3 linked regions of the Lytechinus pictus genome follow. The protein of the gene in region 3 purifies or fractionates together with the protein of the main gene of each other region. This does not show direct contact. Links are inferred from orthologs where the notes say so. Each region holds a gene or a part of one and is shown on either strand. Other genes may lie near its edges. The genes, in order: serine/threonine-protein phosphatase 5-like, activator of 90 kDa heat shock protein ATPase homolog 1-like and heat shock protein HSP 90-beta-like.

Region 1 (11,339 bases), about 39 Mb from region 3:
ATATCTAGTCGTAATGACGTCATAGCAGTCGTACGATTGGCTACGATGTGAAACTAATTTGGCCTTTACTCCAAAATAAAGGCTTGCAGTCTTTCAAAATGGTTATATTAGTATTCTTTCAAATAATTTAACCTCAAATAATATGATGTGTTCCATTTACATTTTCAGAAAATGAGCAAAATGCGATTTGTTCCGAAATTGGATCGCGAACAGTCGTAAGGTGTGCGGTGGCCTTTAAATGTAGACAAAAGCATATTTTGAGCATTCATCAAAAAACAAGGATACACAAAAGGACAAGGAAATTGGATGTACTGTGATTCTAAGAAGCATCAAATATGAGGAAATACTGTTACCAAAGGATAAGCTTTAGTTCTTTATCAAATTTCCTTGTCCATTCAATATTACCGAGTTACTTTTAAAAAGGAAAACGAAACCTTTGGAACAAGTTAGCTTACAAAAAGTGTGAAATAAGATAAATCAAAGAATTAAGATAAACAAAAGAATTAGTACAATTAGACAAGCATTAAGAAAGTACCAGTAATGAGCATTTGAATGTTAAAAACACTAATGCTAGAAGTATAGAGATCTTCCCATTGGCATTACAAGCAAAATGTATAAGTGATGCCATACATGTACATGAACAACTCTCCCATTTGGACAATGATAAATAACCATAGAACATCTCTTTATTTTCATTCTAATAGGCCAAACAATTCATCCATGATATATTGTTGTGAAACCTGTAATACAAGTCCTCTCATAGAAAAGGACACCTGATCGTACTACAGAGTATAGACTAGATGTAAGAAAAAATGTATATGAAATACATTGTATAATGGGGAAGTTGTACACGTGTGACATCACAGATCTTGGTGGCATTGCCAATGGGAGGATCTATATAGTAATAGCGATCTTAATATTCAAACATTCTTAACTTTCTTCTTTTTTTTCCCTTTATTTTCCTTTGCCTTTATTTCCCTCTCTCTCTTTTATATGAATTCAACTTGTTTCAAAGGTTTTATTCCCTTTCAAGGCAAACATCCCCCTCTCAAACATGCATGTTACTATTTTAATTCTTTCATAATATCATATAAATGTGTATGTCCTGAACCAATTATGGCGAGAGGAACATGAAATAATGTGTTCCACTGAATAAATCTTGTGATTTATATATTTTCATTCATCAAAAGCCAAGAGTAAAATAAAAAATATCTGCATAATTTTTGCCTTATTCAAAAAAATTTAAAAAATACTGAGAGGGTGCTCTATATCCAAAATTCAACTTTTCAAAATGAATCAAAAGCTGACAAAAAAATATTGGATGATAATTTGTGAATAATACACATCAATGACTGTTTCATACAGTTTTTTACACAGGTTTTAAAAGATAAAATTAATTTCAGCTTTTTAACAGATTAAATTAATTTCTTACCATTTCATAGTCTTTCAACGCTATCTTGATTTTCCCAAGAGCCATGTTAGCTGTAGCTCTCCTGTAGTATCCCTGAAAAGAAAAACATGTTTACACACAAAATATAAATCAATAAATATTGCATAGAGAAATAATTTGATTTCTATTTTCATACAGTAAAAATTACATTCTCTAGAAATAAATGAAATTTTTATTCTTCCATCACATTCATAACAGTCATCAATCATTTTTTGTTTAAAACATGATTATTCTGTAATAAGTTAGTAGGTTAAAAACCGTCAAAATACTTGATCGTTCATATTCAAAATGATTTACACAAGTCAAAAAGAGAAGTGACAAACATCATCACACTGAATATTGGAAATTATCTTATGTTCCAGGTGGCAAGCGAAAGTTCTTTTTTTTTATCCTCTTTTTTTTGGTATCATTTATAACATAAAAGTATTGGTTAATATGTTTTCAATCTTTCAGTGCAGTATATTTAATCGCAACAAACTCTATATTCAATATTCCTATGTTTTCAAATGATGTAATATTGGTTTTATTAACATTATGCAACCATTTTATGATCAAGCAAATGATAATTCACCTTGATATAAGACTTGTCCAATTCCAAGGCCTTGCTTGCATCTTCTAACGCTGATCCAAAGCATTCTGTCTTCAAGTAAGCAAAACTTCTATTCCCGTAGAAAGCAGCTACTGTGGGGTTGATCTCTATAGCCTCGGAGTAATAGGTGATTGCCTGTTGAAAATCTTGAGCTTGAATGGTTCAAAACAATAATAAAAAGAAAAATACTTAAATACATGGAAATTTGAAAAAATACACATCTACTGTTCAAACTGAAAATAGATGTTATTGAATTATAAAAATAAAAAGAAGAAATATAGGAAGAGAAAAACATGATTATAAATATCCAATAACAATCACAGCAGTTCATGTTTGAAGAGATATGGTGCAACTGTGTAAAATTTTTGAAATCAGACTCCAAAATGTTTGAATTTTCCCTACATGTATTGTACATGTATATGTATGTATATGAGATTCGTGCACATTCCCCTAATACCTGCGAGTTGCTGCTGTTAACAGCTCACACCAACAGCCTGGCCTAGCCCTCCAGCTAGCTCCCAATGAGTTGGGGTTTTGCACCGTACCGCAGACCACATTCTGCATGCTATAATAGAAGCAAAATCTCGGGGGTCGATTGCACTAAAACCAAAACATCCCCAACCTTGGAAAGATGCGCAGCAGTCAGTTTGCTATGCGTGTGCCGATGTGTTATAACTTTACGGTGAAATTGTCCCAGGTACGTTCCTCATTTTCTCGTTGCATGAATTAATTTGCACACTAACACTAACTTCATCGGTCACTCAGGAAATGTGCACCAGCCAATGGGCATTGGTTGCGGTAGCAGCACCACGAGCACAGACTCGGGTAATGGGGAAAAATCAAAGCAAAGCAGTGCAAGACCATGGATTGGTTCACGAAGAAGAGGTTAGTGTCTAGTTTAATCAATGTTTCTGAAGTCATTGAATTAGAGATTGTCTGTGTTTTTTTACGAATGGAGTGAAGTGTTTAATGTGAATCATGTTATTACTACCTCATGCTGTTCTTTTTTTTTTAACTTTTAGATTGACGAACTTATAATGCAAGTGCACTACATCTACAGCAGGTCTGCCAAGTGGCGAGAAGTGAAAGCTGTGGCTTCAGCACCGAACAAGCATATAGTCAAGCCAAGTCGTTCACAGAGAACCAGATAGGTGGACCATCGCCGAAAAAGTACTGAAATGCTTGGCTACCAACTACCATTGCATTGTCAGCCAATTTGAAGAACAAGCATCTGGTCAGCGTAAAGACATTTCTTCAGCTGATGCAGCAAAAGTGAAGGGCTATACGAAGATGCTGAAATCTTTTAAGTTTGTGTTCCATATGAACTGCTACATGGATATGGTGGAGCATATTGCAGAGCTTTCCCTTAGCTTTCAGAAGGATGATCTACCAGTTTCCAGTGTAGTCAGCAATGTCCTTGTAGCGCAAGCTGGGCTGAATCGGACGGAGGAAAGACCAGGCCCTCAACTAAGGCACTGAACGGGAATGAGGCAGAAGAGACTCCAACTTTCACTTTCCAGGATTTCCAAATCAAGGTCACTGAGAAAGATGTTGCCGATTTTCAGACCAACAAAGTGAAGGTTCTTAAAGCTGCAAGTTCTTGCCTGGAGACTAGGCTGGCTGACTTCGGTGATGGACCCAGTTATCAAGGCAGCAAAAATACTGGATCCAATCCACCATCCCAACTGATCAGCAGTCATTGGCAGACTTTAGCATAGATGAAATCAACACATTGTGTGATCACTTTAGACCCTTCTTGATGGCAAAGGGCTGTGACGTAGACCTTGTTGAGGTTGAGTGGATGAATCTCAAACAGCAAATTTTCCAGCCCTCGCAGAAAGAGAAGTTCCACCATCTGTGGAAGAATGTTCTTGTTTACCAGGAAGATGTATCCCGCAACTTGTGCCAAGTCATAAGAATACTGCTAGTCCTGCCGACATCGACATCTCAGGTGGAGAGGCAATTCTCAACCATCAAGAGGTGCCAGGAGGACTGGAGACTAAGTCTCAGCACTTCAATCATTACAGAAGTATTAAGGATATCATCAGAAAGTCCAACACCATCAAAATTCGATCCACAGGCTGCTGTGCAACGTTGGTTTCTTACAGGTATTGCATCAAGACGGCCATTTGTCCAGCCCTCTGGAAGTAGAGTCTCTACCAAACGAACAGCAGATTGGTCTTCAGAGAGTGATGGATCTTCTGACTGAAGCAGGCAAGAGGGTTTGTCGCGCCTTGTTGTATGAGTGATGTTTGAAATTATTATGTGAAATTTTGGGGAAATAACCCGGTCTCGTTGCCGAGTCACATGCCTCGAGTTTGAGTCCGAGACTGAATCCGGCATAAACAGACTCGAGTCGCACATCACTGTGTAATATTGGGGGATTCCAGCCCGAATGGGCTTCCTTTGTAGTGGAAACAGCCAGGCCAACTTTGGCGTTTCCAACTACTGAACTGTTGTCATCTGCTGCTGGTTGCCTCATGGTGGACCCAGATCGAGTGCCGGGTGCAACTCTGCTGGAGATGACCAATCGAGAGCCAGGATTTGGCATCACGTGACCGAGGTTGGAGACGGCGACACCATTTTTGGAGACCCCTTCAGATGTACGGAACCAAACCTAAACGTTGAACTATACTATTGCTGTTGTCACTTTTATGCCAGATTATTGCTGATTTGTGCTGTATTTATTGTTGTCATTGGATTCATCGTGGGATATCACTTACGGTGAGTCTACTCATTTATTGTATTCGTATATCAATGTGTATTTAGTGTCATTTAGGCTATTTTAGTGCATCTCATAATTGTTCGACTTGAGCACTCGAACAACACCTTCAAAGTTGGTGCAAATTACATATTCGCGTTTTAGTCAGAGGCACACAGCCAATATGGGAGACTGTCTCCCATGTTGGAGATTATCTCCAATATCAGAGACTTTTGTCAAGAATTTGGGTATCCAATTTCAGAGCAGAGACAGTCTCCAGTTTTGGAGGCCTATTTCCTTTATTTACATTTCCTGCAAAAGGGTTACCTTGGCAGAAAATGGAAATGTGATAAACAGATTCTTCTTGAAAATCATCCCTTTTCAACATCTACTCTTGCTTTCATAAGGAAGCTGAGGCTTAGCCTGAGCCCCACCAATTTCCCGGGGTAAAGCTTAGCCCAGGCCCGAGTTTTTATTTTAAGGCCATGAGTAGTAAGGTATTAGATTTGCGTCCGAAAATTTTTCAAATGACATGAGGCTTTTTTTCATTATTCATTATTTACTTCTAGTACCTACTTTTGACGATATTCTTGCTATCTACTTGCATATAGTGTATGTAAACATTACTGTACAGTGGCAAATTGTATAGAACGGATAGCGGTGCGTTCAACGCTAGCAGGCGTGTACATTTTGCTTATTACATGACGTCATCCAGCCACTGCCGAGAGCCAATTTATGAATGAAAATATAGTAAGCATGCGCATTGCAAGCCTTCCATAGCCCCACACAGTATTCCACCAAAACAAGTGTGCAATTCTCTATCACCTTGTACCAAAATCAACCTAGAATTTCACTTTCCTATATTATATATGAATTATGAAAGGTATTCTTGGAGGATCTATTTTCTCACCAATACCGCACAGGTAAGTGAATTTTGATTACTTCTTGCTTTTCGGTCAAAATCTTACGAATTAGCGTCGATATGGCATCGTGTTCGTTGGAGTTTGTAGAGTCTATCGCAACGTGTACAAAGTCAATTGATTTCCGGGTTTCGGAGCGTCGCGTGAATATGCATGAAATTGCCGAGTCTCGATAATTTTTGATCGATACTGGAGCGATCCGATCACGAACCAAGACCATTTCCTGCGTAGACAATGTGACCGGATATCGTTATCACTATCGATACTTTCGCACGCAGTCCGAAGGAATTATTTTGGCGACAACGTAGTCATGAAGTGATCTGCTTGTAATTTCGTGATGGAGAGTAAGTGATGGAGAGTAAGTAATGAATTTTTTTTGAAATAATTAAATTTTTTTGAAATAATGAAATTTTCATGCGGGCGGTGGATGCAAATCTAAAACTTTCATTCTCTTGGCTTAATTTTTTTTAATAAAGAAAAAAAAAATTGAAGAGCCCATTAGGGCGGTTTTGTATTGTTAACCCCCTAATGGAGGCTGCACGATTGCAAGCCGAGTTTGAGGGGAAATCAAAAATTAAAAAATGTCAAATTCTCCTCGAAACAGCCAGCTGAGAAATTTGTATCATAAAAGACATTATTATCAAGCAAACTAGACTAGAAGCTCCAGTTTCTATTTGTTGGGTGTTCTTCTAGTAGGAGATATTTTAAATGTGAAAAAAAACATATTTAAAATTCCTCCAAACAGACGGATTTCTGATGCCTACATGGAAACGTGATATCTCGTACTCGCTTACGTGCGTAAGAAATCGCACGCGTTGGTATAGGAGCCGTACGGTACCGGTTCCTATATACATGATATATCAACAGTTTAATGGCACTTCCCTTCACAGCAACGTTCATTCCTCTCAATTGCACTTTTAAAGTTCAAGAAATTGCATGATTTACCTTTGAAAAATGTATTAGCTTTATCTTTGAGAGCCTCTGCTTTTTCTCTGTCGACATCACTGATCTCTGGCTTGTCTACTATTATGTCAGGAATCGCATTTATTTTCGATGAATCACCGGTACCTGCCATCTTCATCCACGTGAAATCTCTCCATGTATTTTTCCGTATTTTTCTAAATTGGAGTACGGTATCTTCGACGGACAATCAGAAATGAAAAGGTTGTGAAGCAATTTTATGGTTGTGAAGAGATGAGAATCTTTTATGAGTTCAGGTGTAATGTTGATTAACAGTTTAAGTATAGACAAGCAAAGTTTTTCTTTTGCTCATACATTTTAGAAAATTTATGGAGTGAAGTGACTGCATGATGGAGTAAACAATGGATAACAACTTTGATTTGAAGGTTCTTTTTTTCCTTTTTGGTAAACATAATATATAGCCTCTGGAACTGCCCCCCCTTTGAATATTGCCATCCACGTTTCTAACTTACACCCCTACACTTTTCTGTCCTCTTTCATCCTTTCCTTTTATCTTCTCCTTATCCTGCTTGTTTAAAAACTAAACTCTTCTCTTCCACTAGCTATACATAGTTTTTTTCTCATCTTATTCTTCTTCCTCATATTCATTCACCACTTCATCTTCTCTCATTGTTCTTCTCCTTCATCTCCTCCATTTTCTTAAATTTAATTCTTTCTTTTTCTTAAATTTAATTCTTTCTTTTTCCTTTCTCTTTCTCATTCCCCTCTCCTCCATTCTCTCGCTCATAAAAGTGAAAATAATTTTCCAAACTTGTTATGAAATCAGGAAACCAAAAATAGTTACAGAAAATGCTAAATACTTCACAGGACAAACAAAAACTGTATGCAGCATAACAGACTTAAATTAACATATTGCAATACTTCATTTATTATTGAACAGGGTGCAATTAAAAAAAGGGAAATTAAATTTCTAATATCTTAATGAAAAAAAAAAAAGTTGGTGATAGTTAACAATAACGACATTAGTTTTGAGGGCAATACATCACTTAACATTATTGTTCTCAAAACTGTAGTTGGTTCACTTGCACACTAAGCACATTACAAGCAACAAACATTAAAAACATGAAATACGTAAAGTCATTAAATCACATTTGTTCATTAATGTTTTAGGAATTTCAATCTTTATATAACTTTTTACAATAAACCCCAAGAAATTTCAATCAAAAACATAGAAATAATGATTCCCTGAATTAATTTTGATAGTAAAGAAATGATATCCGATGCATTTGGACAGATTCAGAGTTGGTCTGTTCAATGGGCAATGGAAGGGAAACATGTGCTATAAAAAAAAAACATATCTATACAACAATGGTGACCCTGGGGTCCGTTGCAGAAAGAGTTGCGTTTAAACGCAAGTCCAAAAATCAATCACAAGTCCCAAATGCGCGCTGTTGATTGGTTGAAAATCAAGTTGCGCATGATTTTAGAGTTGCGATTGATTGCAACTATTTCTGCAACGGGCCCCTGAAAGAGTTGCAATCAATTGCAGAAAGAGTTGTAATCAATCGCAGAAAAAGTTGCAATCAATCGCAACTTGGGGCAACTTGGGGCCCGTTGTTTTCTTGGCGATTCAGTATGCCCCTCTTCGTTTACAAAAGGACATTGTGCAAATTTCTAGTGGGAACAATTATGATATTGATGGATTTCTATATAATTAAGGTTGATCGGATGAATTAAGGTTGATCGGATGAATCACAACTCTTTGTAAGACGGGACCCAGCAGTCATAAAACCCAATTGATGTATCATTCAAATACCAATAAGGTGTACTTTATTGTGATTTAATCATTTCATTGTCACTGACTTCATTGTTTTCTCACAAAAAAAAATATACAAAATTGGTTTTCTCCTTTTGACACCATTTACTTTGGTATATTGCAATAAGTATTGTGAGAAAATAGAATGCATGTTTTATGAAATGCCATATATCTTTCCATCAAAATTCATTATACTGAATTTATATTACAGTACTAAAAATAAGCATATAATCAGAGTAACTGATAATTTAATCAGTTTTAAAACTGATGAAAAAGATGGAACTTCAACTACCACTGTCAAGGCAATCTGGAAATGTTCGCTGTCACAGAAATATTTTAAAATCAGAGTACCAAAATTGAAGTAAAATACCCATTTCGAAAGAAAATAATAAAACATCTAGGTGTGAACCCCCAACTATTTTTTACCATGGGTAACGTGATGTCCATTTAGTTACTTTGCTTATCTTCAAGCTCACAAAATTGTATTTTTCATGCATTTCAATATATTGAAAATGTTATAAATATAAAACACATTAAACTGTACTCATATCATGCAGCATGTGTCGTTCACTTTTCTTCCTAGGATAATTAGTGTACATAGCAACCATGTTTGATTACATGGTTTAATCTTTGGCAAACCATATTACATTATTCTTACAATGTTCAAAAGGAAAATATCAAATGTATAATAGATTACCAGCACATTTTCATTTGCAACAATCGAGATCTTTAAAATGAAATATTTAACAATAAATAAGCTCCATAAATATCGTCAATTATTATTTTCTATTATGATAAACTTATTTGAAACATGAGGAAGACTAGTCTTTATTCAGTGTGCAATCACTAAGATCAACAAAATATTCTCGGCAACAACAAAATATAACCATGAAATTTTATTCTTTCATTGCCAAAAAATGTGTGTGCTAAATTTCATGAGCATTTCCTGAAAAGCAAGTGATTCATCCCGGGCAGTCTCACTTGCATTACACAATTCAAGTATAGCAGCAGTGTTGATTTTGTGATATTAAAATATCATACACTCTCTCCGCTCTCACTTTAATTTACTCTTTGAATATAAATTATTGAATTAATCTAAGATAACTATTGCCATGGTCCTGCTGATTGGACCAAAAGCCTCTTTCATTGGGCTTGAAACTTTTTTATATTCCTTTCAATTTTACAAATTTATGCAGTAATAGAAAAGTGGGTCATTTAGAAAAGCATCCTGGCAATGGAAATAATTGAATTTAAATCCTGAAATTTGATAACATATTCATACAAAATTATGAATTCTCAAAGTGGCAGCATGAACTTGACACAATTATCTTCATACAAGATTCAAGGAATACAAAAAAATAATTGGATTTGATATTTTTTTTAAATAAGGAGGAAACATTATTGCTGGCTCCCGCAAGAAAGGGACTTGGGGTAATTTTCACGATTTTTTTTTATTTCAAATATTGAAAGAGCACATTGTAGGCTATCCAATGATGTAAAGGTTGATTCTAAATTTCAAGTATCACTCAAAATATCATCAAATCAAAAAAGGGAATAATAAAAAAATACAATCATAAAAATAACCACTAAGTCCTTTCTTGTGGGAAGCCAACTTGATATAAGAAACACGCAGAACTACAAGTGTTATTGGACATGCAGTGCAAAGAAGATTTTTTTTCGATATGTGCCGCACTGTGCACAAACCTTAATGGGAGTGTCCAGTGTGCACCATCAGGAGAAAATATTAACTGAATTTGAAGTAAATTAATGATGCTGCCCTCATCATGAAAACCGGCACTGCTCTCACTTCTGCTATGCAGGTGAGACAATGAGAAAATACCTGAATCTGAAAAAAACATTATTTACCTGATATATTACAGCAATTACGTGGCACCTGACCACCCCCAAACAAAACCAGGATCTGGGGGGCGTTTCATCAACATTTTCGTCCGACAAGTTGTCAGATCTGACAACTTTCCTTGATAATGATTGGATGAGAGTCACTGTTACCATAGTAGCTGTCGGATAAAACAGTACTTGTCGGATAAAATGTCCGACAAGTCCTTTCATGAAACGCTCCCCAGAAGACACCCAAGATAATCAGATATCTTCTCTCTCAGTAAGGTACCTTATCAGACACTAGGATATGGACATTCTTCTCACAGCTCATAATATGAATCATGCTTAGGGGTTAAACTTGCATATTCTCAAAAAGAGATGAGAACATTCAACTCCTAGTTGAGTTGAATTCGATACCAACCACTGGCATTCTCTTGACACTAAGATGCAGCCACTGTCCTCCACGTTCAGTGTTGCCTTTGACACTAACCAGTGGTATCTCTTGACACTAAGATACGGATACTCTTCTTCAAGTCCAGTGTTGCCTTTGATTCCAACCACTGGCATCTGTTGACCCTCTGACACAGACACTCTTCTCCAATTTCAGTGTTGCCTTTGATGCCAACCAGTGGCATCTCTTGACACAAAGATGCGGATACTCTTCTCCAAGTAAAGTGCTGCCTTTGATGCCAATCACTAGCATCTCTTGACACTAAGATGTAGACACTGTCCTCCAAGTTCAGTTCTGCCTTTGATTCCAACCACTAGCATCTCTTGACACTAAGATGTGGACACTCTTCTCCAAATTCGGTGTTGCCTTTGATACCAACCACCAGCTTGGCTCCATCCAAAGACCAACATATATAATCAGAGCAGAGCATAGCAGGTATTTCCTTATATTGCACCTTCTGTTCTCTGGTCTATCCCTATAAAACAATCAGACATCTTCAGAGACAAACATGTGGACGTTCTTCTCGGAGTTCATCATCTGAGTATTTCGCTTCAGTCCTACCACAGGACCCAACCGAAGGGCGTCGTACTTGGAGTACAGTACGCTGCAGGTGTGCTCCTTCATAGCGCCCTCTGTTGTTGGCGTCTCCAGC
Region 2 (11,339 bases), about 21 Mb from region 3:
ACAATGCAAAAAGACAAGGAATTTTCAATCATGTAAAAATTTGACGCATACATATACATTTTTGCAAAGCTCTCCAGATGTAGTTCTTCAATGTATGTGTAGATGGGGTACTTCATATACTGTGTAGATATCTCCTTTAATAGGACTCTTAGGAGAGCTGCAGGAGGCATTATTACATCGATTATCAGGTTTTTCTTGCTGTGGCAGCAATCATCAAAAAGAATTTAAAAAAGAGTAATTTATCAACCCTTTATAGCAGAAAACAAGACAAAAAGGTAATTAGGTTATGGATTCTGCTCAAACCCACCTTTCCACTTCAACTTAACATCCCATTCATAAAAGAAGATCAGTTTTGCCTTCCGATTGCTGGCAGAGGCTTCACCATTCATCTCCTTCACTTCATAAATCTCACACTGACCTAAAAAAAAAATCAAACCGAAAACAAGGATAAGAATTTTGGAAATCCTAAACATTTAATACACCTGACCTGTATATAAAATATTTTCACTCGGCAATTTCAAACTAAATCACAGGGGCTGCAAAATGGTTTGAAAGTGGGGGGCTGACCATAACCCAATGGCTTCACAAAAGTCAAGCATGCAATATTTTCATGTCTTTGTTTATTTCCTCAAAATCTTCACATAATTAGTTTAAAATTCCACATTTAATTCACCTGCTCGAATCTACCTTGTCCTTCCATTACTGTCATTTCAAGAATGATTTCCAATTGAATTCTGATAGTTGTGTACATTCCATAAATGTGAGAAAAAAGCAAAAACAAATGGGTTTAATTCTGATGAAGCAAAGAACAGCATTGTGAAATTAATAAAATTTCTCTAAGAAATTACAACTCACCCCTTTCATCTCCAACCTTGATATTTGTAAATAGTTCAGTCAATTTCTCTTTGGACCACTTTGATGCATCTCTTTCTGTCCTGTTAATAGAAAAGTATCGACAACATCAAAGTATAACGCAATAGGTTTTTTTAAATAATATTTTCACTCTAAAAACAAATTATCCATATATCAGATGGTAAATTAATTTGTTAAAATACCATAAATATTATTCTGCATGTTACGAAAACATGACATCTAAAATCTGAATTTTCTTTGCAAAATGCAAGACCAAAGGAAACGCTTTGCCGATTTATAGGCAGATACTCAGATGATTGAAAAAAAAAAGCTGCATGGTTTCAATTGTCTGGCTGGCAGTTGGCATGTAACGACTGTGCAATTGTTTTCCATGACAAAAAGACGAGATGATGGATGCGAAAAGATCTATAAAATCACTCAGTTATTTTCTCACAATTCCTAAAACAAACTTTTGTTCTAGCATTTTGAGAAGAAGTACAACTACAAAGTCATATTTGGATAATCTTTTGTCAAAAATCATGATTATCAAATATTTACACTTTTAATCTATATGCAATCTGCCAGCCAAGAAATGCTTTTCTAGACCTTGTTTACATGGAGAATATATGATATATTCTCCATATTCTAGACCTTGTTTACATGGAGAATATATGATATATTCTCCATATAAACAAGGTCTAGAAAAGCATTTCTTGGCTGGCAGATTGCATATAGATTAAAAGTGTGCCCTTTATTCAACATATAATATGTTGAATAAAGGGCAGGGGCTGTTGAATCGTGACCAAAAAAACATGCCGATATACTGTATGTATGTACACCTAGAGTAAACTCCCCAAATATTGGATGGTTCCAAATATCGGACGAAAATGACGAACAACTCCTTCCCCACAACTACAGGGACCAGAACTGGCAGGGGACTTGCATGCATGTGATACCTGAACATACCTGCAGTGCTATTTAACAGCACACACAGTAGATCCAGGTTGCTGCTAAAAAAAATATTCCAGTGGTAAAATCCATGGGTAAAATCCATGATTTTGACTTCCAAAGATTCTTATGAGTTATGACCCTCGCTAATTATGGCCTCCAAAAGATCAATGACCCAAAAAAATCTCGTAAGGGGGAAGTGATTTCCACCAGAATTATCGCCGCTGAGATCGCACATGTCTGATCTATCGCAAAAAAACGTGCTGTAGGGGGTAGTGAAGTGGAGCCTACACAAACATCACTTGAGGTAAATTATAATATAACATTATAATGAATAATATTTTCTTCTTTCCCACTACGTTTCTCTTCCTTTCTCCCTCTTTTTCTCCTTTTCCCCATTTTTTTTTTTTTTTTGGGGGGGGGGCACTCAGTATATAACGCGTGGTAGGTAGGTGCCGCGGAGGGGACCCCATTTTTACACTCAAATTTCTGTTCCAAGGCATAGCATTTTTATTTTTTTTAGAAAAAGAAGAAAGCTGCTCCAAAGCATAGCATTTTCTTCTTATCGAGAAAAAAGAAGAAATCCGTTCCAAAGCTTCTTATATTTTTCATTACGCCGTTCCAGCCGCATTGATCCGCTACAATGAGCTGCAATTTTGGCGAAAAGCGGCCGCAGAGCACTGTCCGACCATCGCCTCTGTGCGAGCACACACGGCGCCCATGCCGCCGGGCTAGCTGCATGCACGTATGCCCGTTCCATAGGGATGCATACGCACTCACACGCAGGCGACCCGTTCCAAGGACCCCCGTTTCACAAACACTTGTAGTTCCGAAGCCCGTTCCGAGGACCCTCCTTTTTACAATAAGCCCGCTCCAAAGCCCCCGTTTTTTGTCTCGCCCGCAGCACATACCTACCACTTTTTTGGTTGAGTACCCCCCCCCCCCGGGCCCCCATACACGTAGTTACACCACTGCTTCTGGTAGTGGTAGTAAGTAAATAATTTTTTCAATTCAATTTTTTATGACATTTAATATTTAACATTTGTACTACAGAAATAGATCTATGGCAGGGGGTCCTAAAGCTGCGCGGGTCCTAAAGCTACGCACCACTCATCGCGCATGCAGTTTTTATGGCAAATGCGCACTCTGTGTGTGGAACTGTGACTGCAGAGTGACGAACGATTCCTATTCAATTTTTTCTACAGAGGCTGCAGTAAATCTCTAAATCAAGGCTCCACATTAACTTTTTTTGGTGGTGGCCCGTTCGGGCCACCAAAACCATCAAAATTTTTTTTTTGGTGGCCCGATATTAAAGTTTGGTGGCCCGAAAAATATAAAGAAAAACATTAAAAATGAATAAAACAAACTTCTGAAATATTAATTCTGCAGCCACTAGGCCCTACCACTATGTTACTTTTACTTTATACATGTAAACCTTGTTTGCTGTTATTTTACTTTGCTAATTGATAAATGTTTCTATCGTTGTAAAAATGAAATGATTGGAAGAGAATAAATTAATTGTATTGTTCGCAGGTTGTGTGGACTTTTTTTTAAATCTCTGTATAGAGATAATGGTAAAGTAAATAAATAGTGCATAGCAAATTCAGATAGATGTACAAAACAATGGTTTTTCCTTCCTTCCTCTTTGAATCCTAAAACCTAGAATATGCATGCCCCAAATCCAGTTTATTTCTGTTTTCTCTTTTGCAGCATATTATAGAAGGAGAAAATCACAGAAAAATATGCTGCAAAATTAGAACAATGCATAAAAGGGGAAAACAAACGAAAATAATTTTCAAAAAGTATATTACAAAAAGAAAACAAAAATAATAAAAGAAATTAGTGAAATAAAACAAAAAGAAAATGAAGAAAGAAAAAACAAAGAACAGGGAAAAAAAGAAAAGAAAAAAATTAGAGAGAAAAAAGAAAAGAAAATGAAAGAAAAATTAATAAAACAAAGTTAATAAAAAAATGGGGAAAAGGGGAAAATTAAGAAGCCATTACATATATTTTTTAACAGCTGTGGCAACAGTCTATTCTGACTGGAATATAATTAAAAGCCAAGCAAATAATTTTCACTTACTTTTTGGGAATGGCACATTTTTATTTTTATATCCTTTAGTTTGTATTATTTTATTTTCAGTAGAAACATATTTTTTAATCAGGCATATTCAATGGGAAGGGGTATAAATGGTTTAACCACTGTCAAAAAAAAATGAAAGGAAAAAAAAAAAAAAAACGGCAAAAATTATATCTGGAAAAAAAGTGTGAGAAAAGTCCTTCCCTATATTTGCCAAAATGTTGGGGAAAAAAATCACATTTCATATCAATGAAATGCCTTCCCAAAGTATTTACTTTCTCAAGAGTGGTTTAAGAAGTCATTTATAAACAAGAAAGAAAGAAACTGTCTGTTTGTTTTTGGCTAGAAAATACACAGCTTCGAAAGAAACCAAGTATCAACATACATACAAATGCACACGTGGGACTGTGATGTACTTGCCTATGTGTTTTATGTGTATTAATTCATGTGGAAATCGGTCTTTTTGAGTCAAAAGAGAGGTCATAATTCCTCTTCTTAATACTTGCAAATAATCAGGACACACCAGATTTTCGTAATATAGACTGTAGAATTGCATTTCATTGGTGTAAAATGTGACTTTGACTGAGATTTTCAAAGTTCTGTGGAAGATTTCTCAGCAGCAACATTTTTTATCGCAGCTCCCTGAGTCTGAATAGGCTGAGCTAGATCTAGAGCACAGCTGTATGCAGTGGCTTCATGCAAAGCTCACGCCAGCCGGCCGGCGCGTCTGGCTGGATAATAGCTACTGTATGCTATAGCTGTAGGCCTAATATGCAAACTTTGTGTGTGTGTATTTGTGTGTAGATCAACAAAAAGGGCGCATGACGAACTGGCTTGCAATTTGAGCTGTAGAAAGTTGATAAATGCGTGCAAAATTGGGAGAAAAATTGCGCTACTTTGAAAATTATTGGTTGCCCGATTCGGGCCACCAAAACTTAACATTTTATCAATAATGGTTGCCCGAGGTGAATTTTTGGTGGCCCCGGGCCACCGCTAATGTCGAGCCTTGCCTAAATGCAGAGAAACCAACAACTGTTTGGAATTTTGGAGTTATATTCGCTTAAATTTCATTTTTTCCTATAATAATATGAATATATTTTGGAAATTGAGGCACAGGAAATACTATTTTTTTGCATGATAAATCGAGTGCGTAGCTTTAGGACCCCTTCTACATCGGGTGGCGAAATCAAGAGGTGTTCGGAAAACATGGCGGGATTTTCGTATTAGTGAGTTTTGCGATATTTTCTTCTTGGTTAATGATCTTTAGAATGTTTGCCACAGATTAGTGAAAGATATTTGTTGAAATATTAAAATTGGGATAGTTTTTATCGTTTGAAAACAAAGTGCGTAGCTTTACATGTAGGTCCCCCCATCATACACATGATTTTTAATTTTATTTGGTTCAATGATTGTATTTTTGTTTCGGTCCAATTATGATTAGAAGTGTCCGATATTTGGGCACTTTATTCAATATTCATAATCATATTTCAAGATTTTCAGTTTCAGAAATATCAAGACGGAAATTTAAAGAAAAACCATTGCAATTAAAGATGAACAAACTTTTACTAAAGACTTTTTTAGAACAAAAATTACTGCAGAAAAGCTTCACATGTTGTCTTGTTGAATTTCGGGAAGCTAGTAATAACGTAGTGGTAGTAGATCTAGATCTAGTACAACAATTTTATCACTCTTTCATAACTTTTGACTTTCAAAGAAACTCAGTCATGACGTGTTTTATTTCTTCATTTTCACTTAATAACAGCTTAAAGTTTAAATTTCAGTCCAATTTTAAGTGCGCAGACAATCAACAAGGGGGCATCCATTCATCATCATATGCTGTAATTTTAAAGGACTCTGCAGCCTATCTCGAAGATGAAACGACATGCGGACATGGCGCAGCGCTCCTTGTTCAAGTTGACAAACACATTAGCAAGCAAACGCAAGTTACGAAGCGGACACCACAACAAGGCAACCGGTCAACCCAGCCCGACAGGCCCGGCACTTTAATCTCCAATGGGTGTTGCACTAAGTTCTAGTACGGTACGAGTACCTTACGACTACGGCTACGCAGCTACGTTCGAAAAAAACTTACCAATGCCAATTATTGACGTTTGTGGCATCTGCTCGTTCCTCCACAATCCATCGAGGATCTCCTTGTCCCCACTTAGCCATTTCTACGGAAATATATGATTTTCCTTTGTATTATATCGAATAGTAAGAATGAGGCCAGATATCGAAATCTACAGCTACCAGCATGAAAAATCAGAAAATGCTAGAATTGTATACTTTAATAGTCTTATTTAATCAAACACTTAATAATATTATTTTTACTTACTTTTTCATACCTTTACAATATATTGCTAGCCCTTTAATTTTGAAATATTATGATATTATATATATTTAATTACCTTGATCTATGTTTATACGTAATCACATTTTTTTTTAATGTAAGGTTTACTTTTAGTTCTATCGAAATTTTAAGAAAACTGTCTGTAATGTAGTAGACTAAAATAATGACGCAAGGGTTCTCAATTACTGCACATGGTACACTTCCGAATACCATCATCAGGCGCGGATCCATCAGGGGGGGGGGGGGGGGCACAGGGGGCACGTGCCCCACCTTTTAGAAGCAATTAAAAAAAATGTAATGTAAAAATGCCATTAAAACAGAGATGTGCCCCCTCTTAAGAAATTTAAGACCTTTTTTTTTTTTTTTGCTTGTCAATTTTTTTCGGGTACGAAATATCCTTTATTTGTGGTTGAAAACTTTCTTTTTGGGGGGCTTGTCAAAATTTTCCTCCGAAAAATTTGCCCCCTTTTGGAAAATCCTGGATCCGCCCCTGACCATCATGACCATAATAGTTCGAGTTATGTATATACCATATCTCTATGATTTAACTAATTACTTCGAGCGCGAAGTGAGAGCTGAAACTTTTGATGAATTGTCATAAAGATGGATTTTAAGTAGTTTCAGAATTCATATAGAAGCATAGCAGGGCTTATAGTACTAATGAAAATGCGAGCACGCAGCGCCATGCAGCTGATAAATTTTGACGATCAGACTTGAAAAGGAAGATTTTGAGAAAATATGGAATACATGAAAAGAATAAGTACTTGAAACGAACCATATTTCATTTTCGGATTAACGAACCTCATTTCGTTTTTGGAATAACGAACCTTCGAAATTACGAACCTTCGGAATTACAAACCTTCGGAATATTGATCAACCTTCGGACTATTCGAACCTTCGGAATAATGACGCGTCGGAATTACGAATGTATGCGTTTATAAAAAGTATATAGCCCGTGATGTGATAATTACACACCACTTGAAATTTTTGGCTAAGGGGTTTTGGCAACAGTCTTTCTTCCACCTATATACTGAAAATTTGCTAACTCTCTATACTCACTCCCATTATCCAATAATCACACCTTATAAATGACGATTTTGGTCATCGTGTCTTTCAACTACTAAATATCTGCTCGCTCGCATTGGGATATTAACTAACTTAGTTCAGTAGTTAGCCATAAAAAACAAAAAAATGATGAGAGGCCTTTAACTGAAAGGTAAACGGATTATGTATACGGTTATAAATCCCCGTATACATAGCCCCAGCATAGTTGTGGGGGTGCCCCCCATTTTTTTAATGTTCAGGTCAATTGCTTTCACGCCCCCCCCCCCCCCCACTGCTCGGACCGGATTTACGTCATGTGATTCATACACAGGCAATATTTTATAGTTAAGAAGGAGTTGAGCAGTGTGCGCTCTGAAACCAGAATAAGATATCATTCTTATTACTCTTTATATATATATATATATATATATATATATATATATATAACTAAAGTTCTATCTAATAAATATTTATTTGAAGACCCCCAAACGATGGTCCCATAATTGAGAAATGATAATATTAAAGTGTTATAAAGCATTAAGAGAATATTTTGTGGGACAAATTCACGTAATCTTTTTTTAGACACCTATATTTCTAGAAATGAGGGATTTTATTTTGTTAACATGACTTTTGCATTTTTAATTTTCATCAATATAAATTCCAAGAAAATTTTAAACTCTCCACCCTTTCTACTTCAGTATCATTTATACATAATTTAACAGATTTTTCATCTACTGCCCGGAAAAGCAGTAGATGGCAGGTTCCAATCCCACTGGTTCCAACTTATGATGGCAGATAGCATGCGATCTTAAACTTATAAGAGTAATGCCGAAAATTTGTTCACAAAAATACATTGTTTCTACTGATGATCATAAAATTTGTTTTCTGAATATTCAAAACTAACTTAGTAATAGGGTCCATGTCCATCCCTGTACTTTATTAAGTTTGATATTTCATATTTTGTTGTAAATAACCTAAGTCACAGCTGTGGCTAAAAAATATAAATATTTGTGTCGTCAGCAAAAAGAACAAATTTTAATAAACTAGAATCCGGGGGGGGGGGCCACTTCCATTGACGAGTGGATACCATGCGCGACCAAGGGGTCTCGAAAAGCACCCTAAACACGTATTTTCCCAATTCTGAAAATGCACCCCTTGACAAGTATCGGCGTCTGAAACCCTACCCTTAACAAGTATTGGAAACAAAACGATACTCTTGGCAAGTATTCCCTGAAATGAACCCATAAACAAGTACAGCGATATTTGATTGTTATGTCACGAGTCCATCGGTCGTCGGTTTTACCTTTACAGTTTACACACCATTTGGTTTAGTACGGCCCCAGCTTCCACACCTCGCGCAAATCGGACTCTAAACACGTAGTGTTGGGGCAAAAAGGACATCCTTTATAAAACATTTTAATTTTGTTTTATCATCCCCGCAAATTTGACCCTAAACACGTAGCTTTCCTAGCGAAATAGATACCCTTTTTTCATTATTTTTGTGTTTTGACACACCCTTATCACGTTACGTACGTAACGTGCCCTATCTTGAAAAAGACATCCTTTTTACGTGTTTTTTTGGTCGCGCATGGTATATCCACTCGTCAATGTAAGTGGCCCCCCGGGACTAGAATAGAGATGAAGATCATCAACATAATTTTAAGAAACAGAAGAGGACCGAGGATTGAACCCTACGATATGCCTATTGATACTCTTTTGAACTCAGAGTGGCATGAATCATAAAGGACACATTGCTTTCTATTACTTAAATAATAAGTTCGTGTATTAATTTAAGGGCAATACCTCGTATTCCATAAAAAGATAATTTATTAAGCAATATGTCATGGTTAATACAATCAAAAGCGTTTTTAAGATCAATGAATACTCCAAACGTTATTTCGTTATTATCATAAGGATTTATAATGTCATTTAAAGAATCTATATCACAGCATCAAATGTACAATGTTTTTATAAATTATGATTAGTATTGAAATATGTAATTAGTATAATCTCATTTCTCCAGCATTTTGGAGACACATGATAATAAAGAAATTTATCTATAATTTGAGAAAACATTTTTTTAACCAGATGTATATACATATTTACAACTTGTGATATTTCAAAACTATCCTGAAATATATAAATATATCTTCCTGAATGGGATACTCAACATGCAGACAGGCTACAAAAGAACATGGCCTAGGATCTCTGCCCATCAGTGTAACACAGTAGCATACACAAGTCAAATCACTCTAACCTCAGGCCTTGTTCGAGGGGGCAGGGGCAAACATATCGATTTGCTCCCCCAATAATTTGGATAATATAGTATTCAATGTAAACATATGTTTGAAAAAGCATCGGAAAGCACCATGAAAGCATTATACTTGACATTAAAATCACGGGCGTATAAATCCGGGGGGGGGGGGTGGCGGGCACCCCACCTCCCACTTTTCGGAGAGGGGGTGGCATGTACAAGCATTCCCCACTTTTCAAGACAGAAACGAGATTTTTTTAATCATCAAATACGTACTATACGGTTCATGCGTGTATTACGTGGATGCATCTTTAAATGCAGTCAAAGTGCTTAAATTTGCCCAATTTCTCATTCTAAAAATGCAGCAAAATTTCTCGCGCGGTCGCTCCGCTCCTGCGCTCATTCTTACAAGATTTTAGCCATGACAAGTTCCTACGTTTAGCATATTGCAAATGTTATAATAATGCAGGGCCCGCTGGGAGAACAGTTTTCAGAACTGAAGCGGCTTCCCTGGGTAAATATACCTATATTATTATTATATTATATTATTATCCCCTCCATCCCCCGGGGGGGGGGGGGCACTTATTCCATTGACGAGTGGATACCATGCGCGACCATGGGGTCTCGAAAAGCACCCTAAACAAGTATTGACATGTGAAACCCTTCCCTTAACAAGTATTGGAAACAAAACGGTACCCTTGGCAAGTATTTCCTGAATTGACCCCTAAACAAGTACAGTGATATTTTAATTGTTATATCACGGACGTCGGTCGTCGGTTTACCTTTACCTATATACATTGGGTTTATTACGGCTCCACCTCGTGCAAATTGGACTCTAAACACGTAGTGTTGGGGCAAAAAGTACATCCTTAATAAAACTTTTAGTCTTAATTTTTATACCCCCGCAAATTTGACCCTAAACACGTACAGCTTTCCTAGCGAATAGATACCCTTTTTACATTATTTTACTGTTTTATGACACCATTATTACGTTATGTACGTAACACGCCCTATCTTGAAAAGACATCATTTTTACGTGTTTTTTGGTTCGCGCATGGTATCAACTCGTCAAAGTAAGTGGCCACCCCCCGGGCCTCCATCATGAGAGTATGGTTTTAATAGTAGTATTACGTCCATTTATGAATTGCATGATACCAATTACTCATTATATAACTTTGATCATAAATAAATAAAAACATCCTTTGAATACACTGGCGTGAATGGGGGGGGGGGCATCTTTGTGGAAGCGGGGGATAATTTTTACAAAAATATAGGTATATAAGCTATACGTCTAGTTATAAGAGTACGAATAGTTACTGATGGTTGACCAAATCAATGCCGTTACTGAAACACAGAGGCAAAAGAGGACAGCAATATTTCTCACTCACTTTACAATTTCATCCGTTTATAAGAGACTTTAAATCTTCCATCACAATCTAATAAATATTTTAAATATGAAGTTTGTTCCAAATTTTGAATGTTGAATCATCTCCTAATATAATCTTAACGATTAATTATTCAAAATCTTTCCTTTCTGCAATATTTTTCTTTTAATATTTGCATCATTGTACTATTTCCACGTTTTTGGAAGTTTGTATTGTGGCCTGATGACCTACAATCATTATAAGCACCCTTAATTAATCCCGATAATTATGATTTTTCATTCTCATCTCACCTTTGGCCAGTGAGCAAATGAGTTTTTATCGAACAAAATATGGACTGTTTAATACTTGTTTACTCTTTATATTTCTTTTTCCTCAAAATTTTGGATTTTCAGATCATTATAATCATTGCTGTCACCCCCACTGCTC
Region 3 (11,339 bases):
ATGTTTTGGGGAAGGAAATTTAATTTATTCATTACACCTATATTTCTTGAAATAATCGAACATAAATAATTAAAGTGATTGGACCAGGAGAGTTTATCGTCAAGTTGGATGCCAAGAAATGTTGTATAAGATGTGTGTAGAATTTCCTTACTGCTGAGATATATATTAACATCGTTGGGATTGAAGTGGCGATTTGAAAATATAATTGATGTTGTTTTAGAAATATTTATTATGAGTTTATTCTTGACTAACCATTCTTCTACATGAACTAATTCTTGATTGAGATTTTCACATAATTTATTTACATTATCATTTGACAAGGAAATTGTTGTATCATCAGCAAATATTGTAAAATGCAATTTTTTTGAAGTAAATCTGATATCATCTATATATATTAAAAATAGAAGGGGACCTAAGATTGACCCTTGAGGAACACCATGCATTATGATCTTAGATTCAGAATTATGCTTCTTATATGTAGTATATTGTTTACGCCCCGACAGATAGCTGTTAACCCATTTTAAAGCTGTACCTCTTATTCCATAGCAGTTAAGTTTATACAATAATAATTTATGGTCAAGACAGTCAAAGGCTTTTGATAAATCGAGAAATAAGCTAATAGTTGTTTGTTTGGTGTCAATAGCATTAGATACATAATTAATAAATTCTATAAGGGCAGATGAAGTTGAATGTTGTGGTCTAAATCCGAATTGATTGCAATATAATATGTTGTGTTTATTTATAAAATTTAAGATCCGGTTATACATACATCGTTCTAATATTTTTGAAAATATGGGCAATAATGAGATCGGCCTATAATTGCTATATACATTATTTTGTCCTTTCTTATATATGGGTACGATTTTTGCTATTTTTAATTGGTCAGGAACAATACCATTATTTATAGATGAATTAAATATTTTACAAAGTGGTTTGCATATGACAAAGATTACTTTTTTTACAATGGAAACATCTACACTGTCAAATCCAGGACTAATTCCATTCTTTAGTTTGCTGGTTACGTCAATTATTTCAGAGTATTTAATTGGAGTAAAAAATATAGAATATGGGTTCTTTGGTAGAGGAGGGCAATAATCATGATCAGTTGATCCTATGTTTTCTGATAGTAAAAGAGGAGCCACATTAATAAAATAGTCATTGAATTGAGTTGCAACCTCTGCATCTTCAAGGGTGATTCCATTATTTTCAAAAGTAGTATGATTTGACCTTTTAGTTTTACCCAACATATTATTCAATATTTTCCATGTTTTAGATGAGTTACCTTTGGTGTCTTTGAAAAGCTGATCATAGTATTTTTTCTTTGTTTTGCGTAGTTCTTTAGTAAAAATGTTTCTCAAAGACCTATATTTCTCTCTATTGCTATCGGAAGGGTTTTTAAGGTAGTTACGATACAATTTTAGTTTCTTCTTTGACAGGCATTTTAAATGTTTATTGAACCAAGGTTTATTTAAAGAGCTTTTATGTTTAGCAGATATAATAGGAAAACATTCATTGTATAATTTAAGGAATATTGATAAAAATCTATCATAACTACTATTTGGATCATCATCATTAATAGGCCAGTTGACGGAAGAGAGTTTATGGTAAAAGGTTGCAATGGAAGTGTCTGAAATTGACCGTTTAGAATAAGCATTGCTAAGACTATCTATTGAGGAAGGGATTTCAGTGATGATAAAAACAGGTAAGTGGTCACTTACATCGGAAACAAACACTCCATTCATTAAGTTATTTTCATCATTCGTTAATATATTGTCTAGGAGGGTTGCAGTGTGACCAGTAATACGTGTGGGTACAGTTATTAGCGGCGTTAAAGAATTGGTATTAATACAGTCAGAGAAGTTCTTGGTGGTTTGAGAAGCATTCATATCATTGAGATCTATGTTGTAATCACCAAGCAAATAACATTTTTTGTGCTCGTTATTGACAATACTCAGAATACAATTCATTTTACAAATAAAATCATCTACATTTCCTGAGGGAGGTCTATAAATTATACCAATAATATACCAAGAGCGTGAGTTATTGTTTGGTTTAACCTCTATAAATATGGTTTCTAGAGATTCAAACATGTACGTTAAGTCTGGTCTCTGTTTATATGCTAGAGATTTATTAATATATACTGCAACTCCACCTCCCTGTTTACATATTCGATTATTCGTTAACATATCATAATTCTCCAAGTAATAAAGAGGTATATGTGAATTAGGTTTGAGCCATGTCTCAGAAAGGCCAATGATTGTAAATTCAAGGTCAATACTATTGAGAAATACTAATAAGTTTTCAAAGTTCTTTGGAACACTCCGACAATTAACGTGTAAAAGAGAAAACATATTCTTAGGATCTTCATTTTTAAGGATATTACAATTATTAAACTGGTTTGGAGTATAGTAACAAGATTCAGAGGAATTGTTGCTGTCGTCAGCATACTGTAAATGTAACATTGTGTCAGTATCAATAGGTAAGGGATTTACAAACATTTTACAAATAAACACTTAGAATAGAAAAGTTGAAATGAACAAAATGTTTAAAACTAGCGAACGGTATACTATGCAAAATTGAACCAAGAGGTGACAAAATATGAGTAAAACAGGCAAATTTCGTAGTAGTACACAAATTAGGATGTAAAAAGTAAAAAGACAATGTAATAGAACAGAATACAAAAACTGAAGAGATTGATAACAAATGTTTCGATGATAACTGTGAGTTGCAGTGTAAGTCACTGGCCTGGAAGTCATTTCACTTTATATTATAAAGTGAGTGTTCATGCTATGGTGAAAAGAGTAGAAGGATTATCATCCTTTAAGGCAAAATTATTCATATAAGTTTGACAAGGTCTTCCTTTGAGTTGATTTGCTTTTTCATAGTTTTGTTGTTTGTACATCGTACAGTTACAATAATCCTCCCGTCCATGGACCAAGCTGATAATATTTTGCTCTCTGGTTTGTTGATCTCCTTAAAGGCTAAAATGATATAGTAAGACCTATCCCTTGTTGTAAGTCCCAGTTAAAAAAATAACAAATATCTATGTTTGACAAATGCATCCACATGGAATTTCAATCGTTACATCTCTATTTTATTACAGTATTAGATCAACAAATCTCTGATCATATTTCCAGTTCTAAATAGATACCTTCTCAGCAATTCAGTTGGTGTTCACAAGTGATTATTCAATCTATGGAAGGTGACTCATGCAAAGTCCAAGTAGAACTCTATATTCTTTTTAGTTAACGAACACAGCTAGTTTCTTTAAAAGTCAGTGAACTGTACTCTGAAATGACTAATTTGCTGTGTGGTTCAGATCCTCCTATGACCAAGGATATCTAGACATTTGGATTGAAGATCGTATATGAATTATAGCAGGGGTGCTCTAAAATTTCAAAATGAAATTCAAAATGAAACCGTTCTGAACTTGGGGGAAAAGCAAGTAAATTTTGAAACAATGCCTACTTTATCCGGGAATTGCCTTCTGAGGTCAAACTAAACTTTTAATCTAGAAATTTTAAGGCTGTATAATCCTGGGCTTAGAATAGATCGGATCTAAAAACTTTTAGATCTTTCCTTAACTTAAGTTTATCACATTCCAACATTGGGGACAAGTAAACGGGGTACTCCATGCTGAAAAAAAGTATAAAAAATCAAGACTAAAATGTTTTATAAAGGATGTACCGTACTTTTTGCCCCAAGAGTCAACACTGTGTTTAGAATATGATTTGCGCGAGGTGTGGCTGTACTAAACCCAATGATGTAGGTAAAGGTAAAACCGACGAAAATACGTGTTTAGGGTGCTTTTCAAGACCCCATGGTCGCGCATGGTATCCACTCGTCAATGGAAGTACCCCCCCCCCCCCCCCCCGGGCCCCACCTTCTATTTTCTTATGTTATTATGTGAGAAAATGTGTGTATGATGTCTCCCATGTAATAAAAATCTTGTAGCAAGAATACCAGTTGTCCAAATTTTTTTATTTGAATAAACATAATTTTGTATAGACAGATCAAGTGAGGATATGACATCAATTTGCTAAATGTATATTCATGAAGACATCCAAAGAACTTAACACCAAAATAATGTCAAGCTTTTAAAATTGTCTTAACTTTGATTATCTTTGTCAAAATTTAATCAAATTTTCAGTGTTTTGATTGTCATATTTTTCTGCCAGAGCCCAGAGTGTACACACCTTTCAGTTAAGAAGAAAATTCATCTTTTCCTTTTACCCTATCCAATATTATTGCATGCGCTGCAATTTGGAATTGATGAAACAAACTTACATCAGATGAATTTGAAATGAGCTCTCTAAGGAAGATCTCCTTGTTTGAGTAGAATGTGTTGATGATGAGGCTCATCAATTGAGCAATCTCTGCCTGGAAGGCAAAGGTCTCTGCCTCTTCAGCTTCCATTGGTTCTTCTGGACGTTTGGTTTCAGTTGACATGGTGGTTTTTTGTGATCTGTATTAAAACTGACTGCAATGAAAGAATAAAAAACTTTACCACAGATTTTTAACCTAGGCTAGACCTATGCTATAGACATAGTATGCCATGGGCAAAGATTCCGCGTACAAAACTGGAAAAAAAACCTTTAAAAGCATTTTTTGGTCACGCATGTATACAGCAAAATATTTGACTGCCCCCCCCCCCCCCAGCATAAATATTTTAAAAAAACACTGCTTTTATTTAAAAAGTTTTAAAAGAGAATTTTCATTTTGAAAAAAATGTCCCCAGACATGCCAGACAAGGAGCAAAATTTTGATGAAATTGAAACAGATCTAGATTCTAGGTCTGGCTTTAGAAATTAGAGATTAGATCTATCAAAAGTTGATCAGACTAGTAAGAGTAAGACTAGGCTAGTTGAAACCATGATCAAGAATCATATCTAGACAATAAAGACACAATAAATCTCACCACTCTTCAGATCTTAAATCAAATTTAGACAAACTTTGTCACAAAGCGTTTCACAATATCCAGACCAGATTCATTCAACTTCAATTCAACTCCCAGTCAAGCCTGCCCTTGTAAACCCGATCCAAACTTCACTTGTCTGACTTAGTCAATTGAGTTGAATAAGGAAATAATGTAGAATAAACTTAGAATTCAGGTAGAAAGATCTTATATACCTAACTTACCTCTTCAAATTCTCGAAAATTCTCTTCTAGAAGATTCGTCAGGAGCAGGACAAGTCAAGACAGTCTACGGCACCGAAACACTCTCGCGTGATTAATGAATGAATGGATATGAACATGTGCGACCGATCCGACACACAATATGGCGAGGCGGCGCCGAGGATGCATATGGGAATTGCATTCTGCATGCACTGGCGCGGGGATGAATTGATATTAATCCGCGGCCATTCAATTCCAATATTTTAGGCTTATGAAGTCAAAAATTGTATTTTAACTAATTTTTCAAGAACATAGATAAAATCGTACTCAATTTTACTCAAATTTTTAATTTCTGGTTTTATTTTTTTATATTTCCTTTGAGAACTATATGTTCATTATCAGATGTGCTTCGGTTTTTCTAGCATATTCGACACCGGATGCGGATATAGGGTTTTCCAATACTTTAATTGAGGGTAAATATTTAATCAAGTCAAATTATTGTCGTGTAATTTGATTTTTATTCTTGCAAAATAAAAATAAAAAAGCGATGATGAACTAGTTATTATATATTTTACTACTAGCAACACCAATAAAGTATCCATAAAAATGTAAAGAATACAAAAGTATCATGTACTGCTTACCGATCGAAAAATGTTTTCGTCCAAATAAAGCGGTAAAATTCACCAATCAGATTCAATTTGAATATTCATCGATTTAAATGCCCGATTGTATGCACGATCTTTGTAAAAAAGCGGCATTTTATCACGATATTTTTTTTGGGGGGTAGGGTAGATGTATTTATCGATTTCCAACAATTGCACAAATTGGTGCTATAATGTTCACCAAACCAATCATAAATAGTTCTAGTATGATCCATGGTTTATTCTCTATCGCTAATGTATCTGCGCATCAAACTTTGATTGTGCAAGCACAGCTACAGAAAGGAAAATGTAATTGAATCTTCCACATGTTGGCAACAAATCGCATCGGTGTGTATCATAACAGAAAAACAGATAAATTTTGAAAATTAATCAGAATTGAGGAAGAGCACATTTTAAGTTATATATGGTTTATGGCAAAAATACTTTAACTCGCTCAGATAACCGAGAAATCAGGAAAATGAATAAGCTGTTTCTATATAGACTAGTTCCTCACACTTTTCTAGTCCCACCTCATTTTTTAATTTTTTTGCTGAAGAAATATAGATTCAGACCACTTTAGTGTGTGTGTTTCCATATTCAAATCAATGCAATTTAAAAAAAATTTAATTTTCCTTGGACGTTCCAAGCACTTTTTGTAATTATGAACTGGATGGCTATTTAATCAAACAATTGATGCGAGTGCGTAGCACGAGCTGAAAAGTTTTTGATATATGAAAACTATGAATACGCAGGATGTGTATTAACGATTAATGAAAACTCTAATAAATATTGACTTGAACATTGGATGTGAACAAGTTATCTACTTATCTTTTTGGGGGGGGCAACTCACAGGGGGGAAATGCCCCCCGTGCCTCCCGCCTTGGTGCCGCCACTGGTCTGGAGCGGAGCCCCCGGAACCTCGCGATATTTAAAGGAGAATGAAACCCTTGAAACCAGCTGAATCCATATCAAAGAGAAAAATCAAAGAAACATATTGTTGAAAGTTTGAGGAAGATTGAATGAATAATAAGAAAGTTATGAGCATTTGAATATTGAGATCACTAATGCCATGTAGTTCCTCCCATTGGCAATGCGACCAAGATCTGTGATGTCACACACGTACAACTCCCTCATTACTTTAGTACTTATTTCACTTATATTCTCACTTTTATAGAGTCTATCACAAGGTGAGGTGTTCTCTTTATGAGAGGACAAGTACAGAGGTTTCACAACATTATATCATTGATGAATCGTTTGTCATATGATTAGAATGAGCAAAAAGAGATGTTTTGGGCTATATTTTCAGTGTCCAAAAGGGGAGAGTTGTTCATCTGTGACATCATAGATCTTGGTCGTATTGCCAATGGGAGGATCTCCATAGCATTAGTGATCTCGACATTCAAATGCTCATAACTCTTCTATTGCTAGTCCTATTTTACTCAAAATTTTGTTGATCTTATTCTCTGATTTTTCTGCTTTCACAAAAGCTAACTTGCTCCAAGAGTTTCATTCTCCTTTAATAAAATCGCAAATGACCACTTTTTTATCAAATCGCTGATAATGAACGAAATATTTTTAGGCAGCACAACATAGCAAATATGGAAAAATTTGTAAAGTCTCCAGCGAGCGAATCGAGCCAGAAAAATTTGGTCTTTTAATATGATTTTATTCTAGTAGCTTTGGAAATTTACCCAAAGTGAACATTAATTTTAAGGCTTTTACGGTAAATCTAGCCAGCGCAAAGCCCCGCGGAAAGCTTTACTTAGGTTAGGATAGAGGGATATAACTAGCCCTTGGCTAACCCTTGGCTAAAGATTTTTTTTGTCCTGATTGCGACCATTAATTATTGCATATAATTTAGCAAGCTTATTTTAGATGCCATCCACATTTCTTCCCGTTCTATATATTTTTCAATTCTCGGCAGCTCGGTCGGGTTATTAAGTTTTTCTCTTTTTTTCTTGTCCCTTTTCTTCTGATTTTCGGATCTACCTTCATTTCCTGTTTCTTTTTGCCTCTTTCTCCCATTTTCCCGTCACATGTTCTTCTTTCGTTCCTTATCCCGCTTTCCTTCCATTTTCCCTATTTATTTCCTTGCCCTTTCTTTTCATTTTTTTCCCTTCTTCCTTTTCCTCTTTCCTTTCTTTGTTTCCCTTTCTCTCTTCCTCCCTTTTCTCCTTTTCCCGTTAAAAAAAAAAATTCCCGGTGAAATCCGCCAGGGGGCAGCTTGCCCCCTGCCCCCCGCCTGTTACGCCACTGTTGAGCCGCAATTTCGCGAAGGGGGCCTACGATTTTTTTTACCAGCTTCCTGAGTTTATATAAAAATCCGTAAAACGGCTTTTTTTCGACACACCGTGCGGACACCGGAGGAGACATGCGACTGAGTCTATTATCTTCTTGTGATATTTGTTATTGGTATGTATGGTTGTTTTATATAGGCATATAATACAGTAGACATAAAAACAAACATGCTATAACATAGCCTATGTTATACAATTGTTTATGTATATTGTTATCATTATGTCAGACCCCATCCCATGATTGAACACAGATTTATATTATATCAGCTCTCACGGGCCATCCAACCATATCATATAGGCCTACACTATCATGGACATGGTTGTTGTTTGTGAGTTATTGTTTATGTTATATTGTGTTTTTATAATTTCGGAAATAAAACAAACAAAACCTTAGGATACGATAGCTACAGATATTATGCGTGATATAAATATTTAAAAAAAGACCAAGAACTTAAATTCTTTTAATAACCATATTTATAGCATCTATCAGCATTAAAATTACTTCCCGGTTCTGAAATAAAATTCTGATAGATTTTCCTGACTAGATCTTAGTCAATCTTATTTTTTTATACAGTGGATCCACTAAAAAGCAATGTGCAATTCATGTGCTGACCTTGCTTTGACATTGGGTATTTCCACATGACGCGTATGGCAAGCCGTTTGTGTAAAAATTAGATAAACTCTGTTTTTCTCAAATAACTGTTCTTTTCAGAAAAACTCAGTTTATCTCAGATAAACACAGTTTTTCTCAAGAAGAACTAAGTTCTTCTTGAAAAACTAAGTTTATCAGTTGATAAACTTAGTTTATCAGTTGATAAACTCAGTTTATCTGTGAAAAACTGTGTTATATCAGTTGATAAACACAGTTTTTCAGATAAACTCGGTTTATCTGAGAAAAAAAGAGTTTATATAGTTTTTACACAAACGGTTTGCCATAGACGCGGGAATCCCAGCTGGGATTCCCCACAGTGCAAGTGGCGAACATTAAACTTGCGACATGACATTGTACGCATATTAATGTGGTCTCACAAAGGACCTACATCTTGCAAAAACTGTACCATATTGGGATTTAAATATTATTGTGCGTGTAGCTGTTCATGGCGTACGTGAGTATTGCAATGTGTGTATGTTCCAGTTTCACTGATTCATGTAGGCCTATTTTCTATATCCCAGATCATTTTGAACTTGAAAGAAGACAACCAGTGCGTTTATAATCTTCGACTTCATCATCTTGAAGCATCACTTCGGGCAGCACTTACTCTGGAAGAATTAGAATAACCATCGTGATAAAATGTTGCTAATGCCCTTTGGCTTTGGTCACAATTTATTTTAGTGTATACTATCAGTACTATTGCGATAAGAAGATTCTAGGCCTATAAAGCCAGGGGCGTAACAATGGTCGGTGGCCAGGGGGGGGGGGGGGGGAGGGGGGCAAGAGCCAAAAATTTCCCGGTCATATCATGGTATGTACAGGATTTTTTTTTATTGTACCCCGAGTATTAGGGCGAAGCTCAACGTGTGATAAGTACAAATAGAGGGAGCACAGCATGGCACGTGCACGAGCGAGAAAAAAAATTACCTTCTATGAGACGAGAGTCTAACTTTAGTTTGAGATTGATTTTGATATGGTATTCAGAAAATAACATCATGTCTTACATCTTCCTTTCATTTCCTTTCATCTTTTCTTTTTTGTTCTCGGTTGTAGAACTTTTTGGGCAGTACTATACTTTCCCGGTGAAATCCACCAAGGGGGGCAGCTTGCCCCCCGCCTGTTACGCCACTGTATATTTTATTCATTTCTTTTATTGAAATGAAATTTTAATTTGTTCGTACTGAAATATTGATAATTATTTCTACACAGTAACTTTTTGAATTAATGTTATACTAAATGCTTTTATATTGGAATGAAATTTTTGAATTGTTTGAATGAAATATTGATTACACACATCTAATATAAACCTTTTTGGAGGCAATACAGTAATTTTTAGGAATTGATATATCAATTATACTACATGCATATTATTGGAATGAAATTTTAAATTGGTAGTAATGAAATATTAATTATACACATTTAAAAACCTTTTTGGAGGCAATACAGTAACTTTTTGAATAACTGCATTTATTATTGAAGTGAAAATTTTTGAATTGTATGAAATGAAATATTGATTACACACATGTAATTTAAATCTTTTTGGAGACAATACAATAATTTTAGGAATTCATTATGTTAATACTTCATGCTTTTATTGGAATGAAATTTCGAAATGCTAAACTGCTTGTAATGAAATATTGAATACACACATCTAATTTAATTCTTTTTGATGACAAAACGGCTCGGTGTAAAAATGGCAGAGGTAAAAATGGCAGAGGTAATAATGGCAGAGGTAAAAATGGCAGAGGTAAAAATGGCAGAGGTAAAAATGGCAGAGGTAAAAATGGCAGAGGTAATAATGGCAGAGGTAAAATGGCAGGGGTTATAATGGGAGAGGTAAAAATGACAGCTCTATGTAAAATATGGCCAGTCTTAAACCCCCATGCAATGAATTGTCAAAAAGCCCCCGCATGTACATACATTAAATAAGAAGTGCATGTCACGGTTAGGCATTTCATCATCATTATGTCTTCATCGGCCTAACAATGCTATTTACGAATTCGTTGGAGGTGTACCGTGAACGCTTTTTAAAAAGAAATCAAACGACAGATATTTTTTCATTCAATTTATCAGGAGCAAAATGAAACTGCACTATTCTCATTCATCATTTTATAACATTCCTTTTTGTCTGGCTGGTTTATTTATATCTAAAGTTTGCCAGGTTTACCGATGCAAAAAGGAGGAAGAGTAGACATAAGAGAGGTGGAGAGACAGAGATGGTTAGGGGCGGGGAAAACATAGAGAACATAGCGGGGAAAGCTTAGACGTTGAAATTTTCACGAATGACTGTCGTTAAATATTATGTCCTTATTTGTAATGTCGTCTGTACTATTCTTTTTAAATAATTGAATGACAATAAGCATGCGTTCCCAGGCTTGGCACTGAATATGTAACTGATTATGAAAATCAATAATAATCTTGTTTTGACTGGTAAACCAATTTGGGGTCGATCGAGGGGGACCGTCTGGTTCAGATTCTTTGCATAAAAGAAGACCCTGAACCTTTACCACTGCATCCAATATGATATAAACGTCTTGATGGTCATAACCCTTGGAAGCGGAAGTACTGTTGGGTATTTTGTACACCATAAGCAGCACCCTCTTGGTAATTAGCTTGGTATGCTAAAATGTAGAC

Evidence for each region.
Region 1: the proteins of heat shock protein HSP 90-beta-like (region 3) and serine/threonine-protein phosphatase 5-like fractionate together in Caenorhabditis elegans (co-fractionation; 3 studies listed by BioGRID). This does not show direct contact. The link is inferred for Lytechinus pictus from reciprocal best matches to the Caenorhabditis elegans genes hsp-90 and pph-5.
Region 2: the proteins of heat shock protein HSP 90-beta-like (region 3) and activator of 90 kDa heat shock protein ATPase homolog 1-like fractionate together in Caenorhabditis elegans (co-fractionation; 3 studies listed by BioGRID, with this or other methods). This does not show direct contact. The link is inferred for Lytechinus pictus from reciprocal best matches to the Caenorhabditis elegans genes hsp-90 and ahsa-1.

The regions. Positions count from the first base shown.
Region 1 is NC_087251.1:45,943,607-45,954,945, reverse strand, and holds the start of serine/threonine-protein phosphatase 5-like, read right to left. Parts: upstream 6,787-11,339; 5' UTR 6,742-6,786; coding exon 6,606-6,741; intron 2,192-6,605; coding exon 2,022-2,191; intron 1,505-2,021; coding exon 1,433-1,504; intron 1-1,432.
Region 2 is NC_087251.1:28,026,892-28,038,230, reverse strand, and holds the start of activator of 90 kDa heat shock protein ATPase homolog 1-like, read right to left. Parts: upstream 6,415-11,339; 5' UTR 6,053-6,414; coding exon 5,973-6,052; intron 1,859-5,972; exon of another isoform or gene 1,819-1,858; intron 936-1,818; coding exon 856-935; intron 419-855; coding exon 308-418; intron 1-307.
Region 3 is NC_087251.1:7,018,279-7,029,617, forward strand, and holds the start of heat shock protein HSP 90-beta-like, read right to left. Parts: upstream 5,537-11,339; 5' UTR 5,140-5,536; intron 4,481-5,139; 5' UTR 4,450-4,480; coding exon 4,288-4,449; intron 1-4,287. Other genes in the region: uncharacterized protein LOC129266063, read left to right, coding at 9,151-9,159. UniProt on the Caenorhabditis elegans protein: Molecular chaperone that promotes the maturation, structural maintenance and proper regulation of specific target proteins involved for instance in cell cycle control and signal transduction. Undergoes a functional cycle that is linked to its ATPase activity.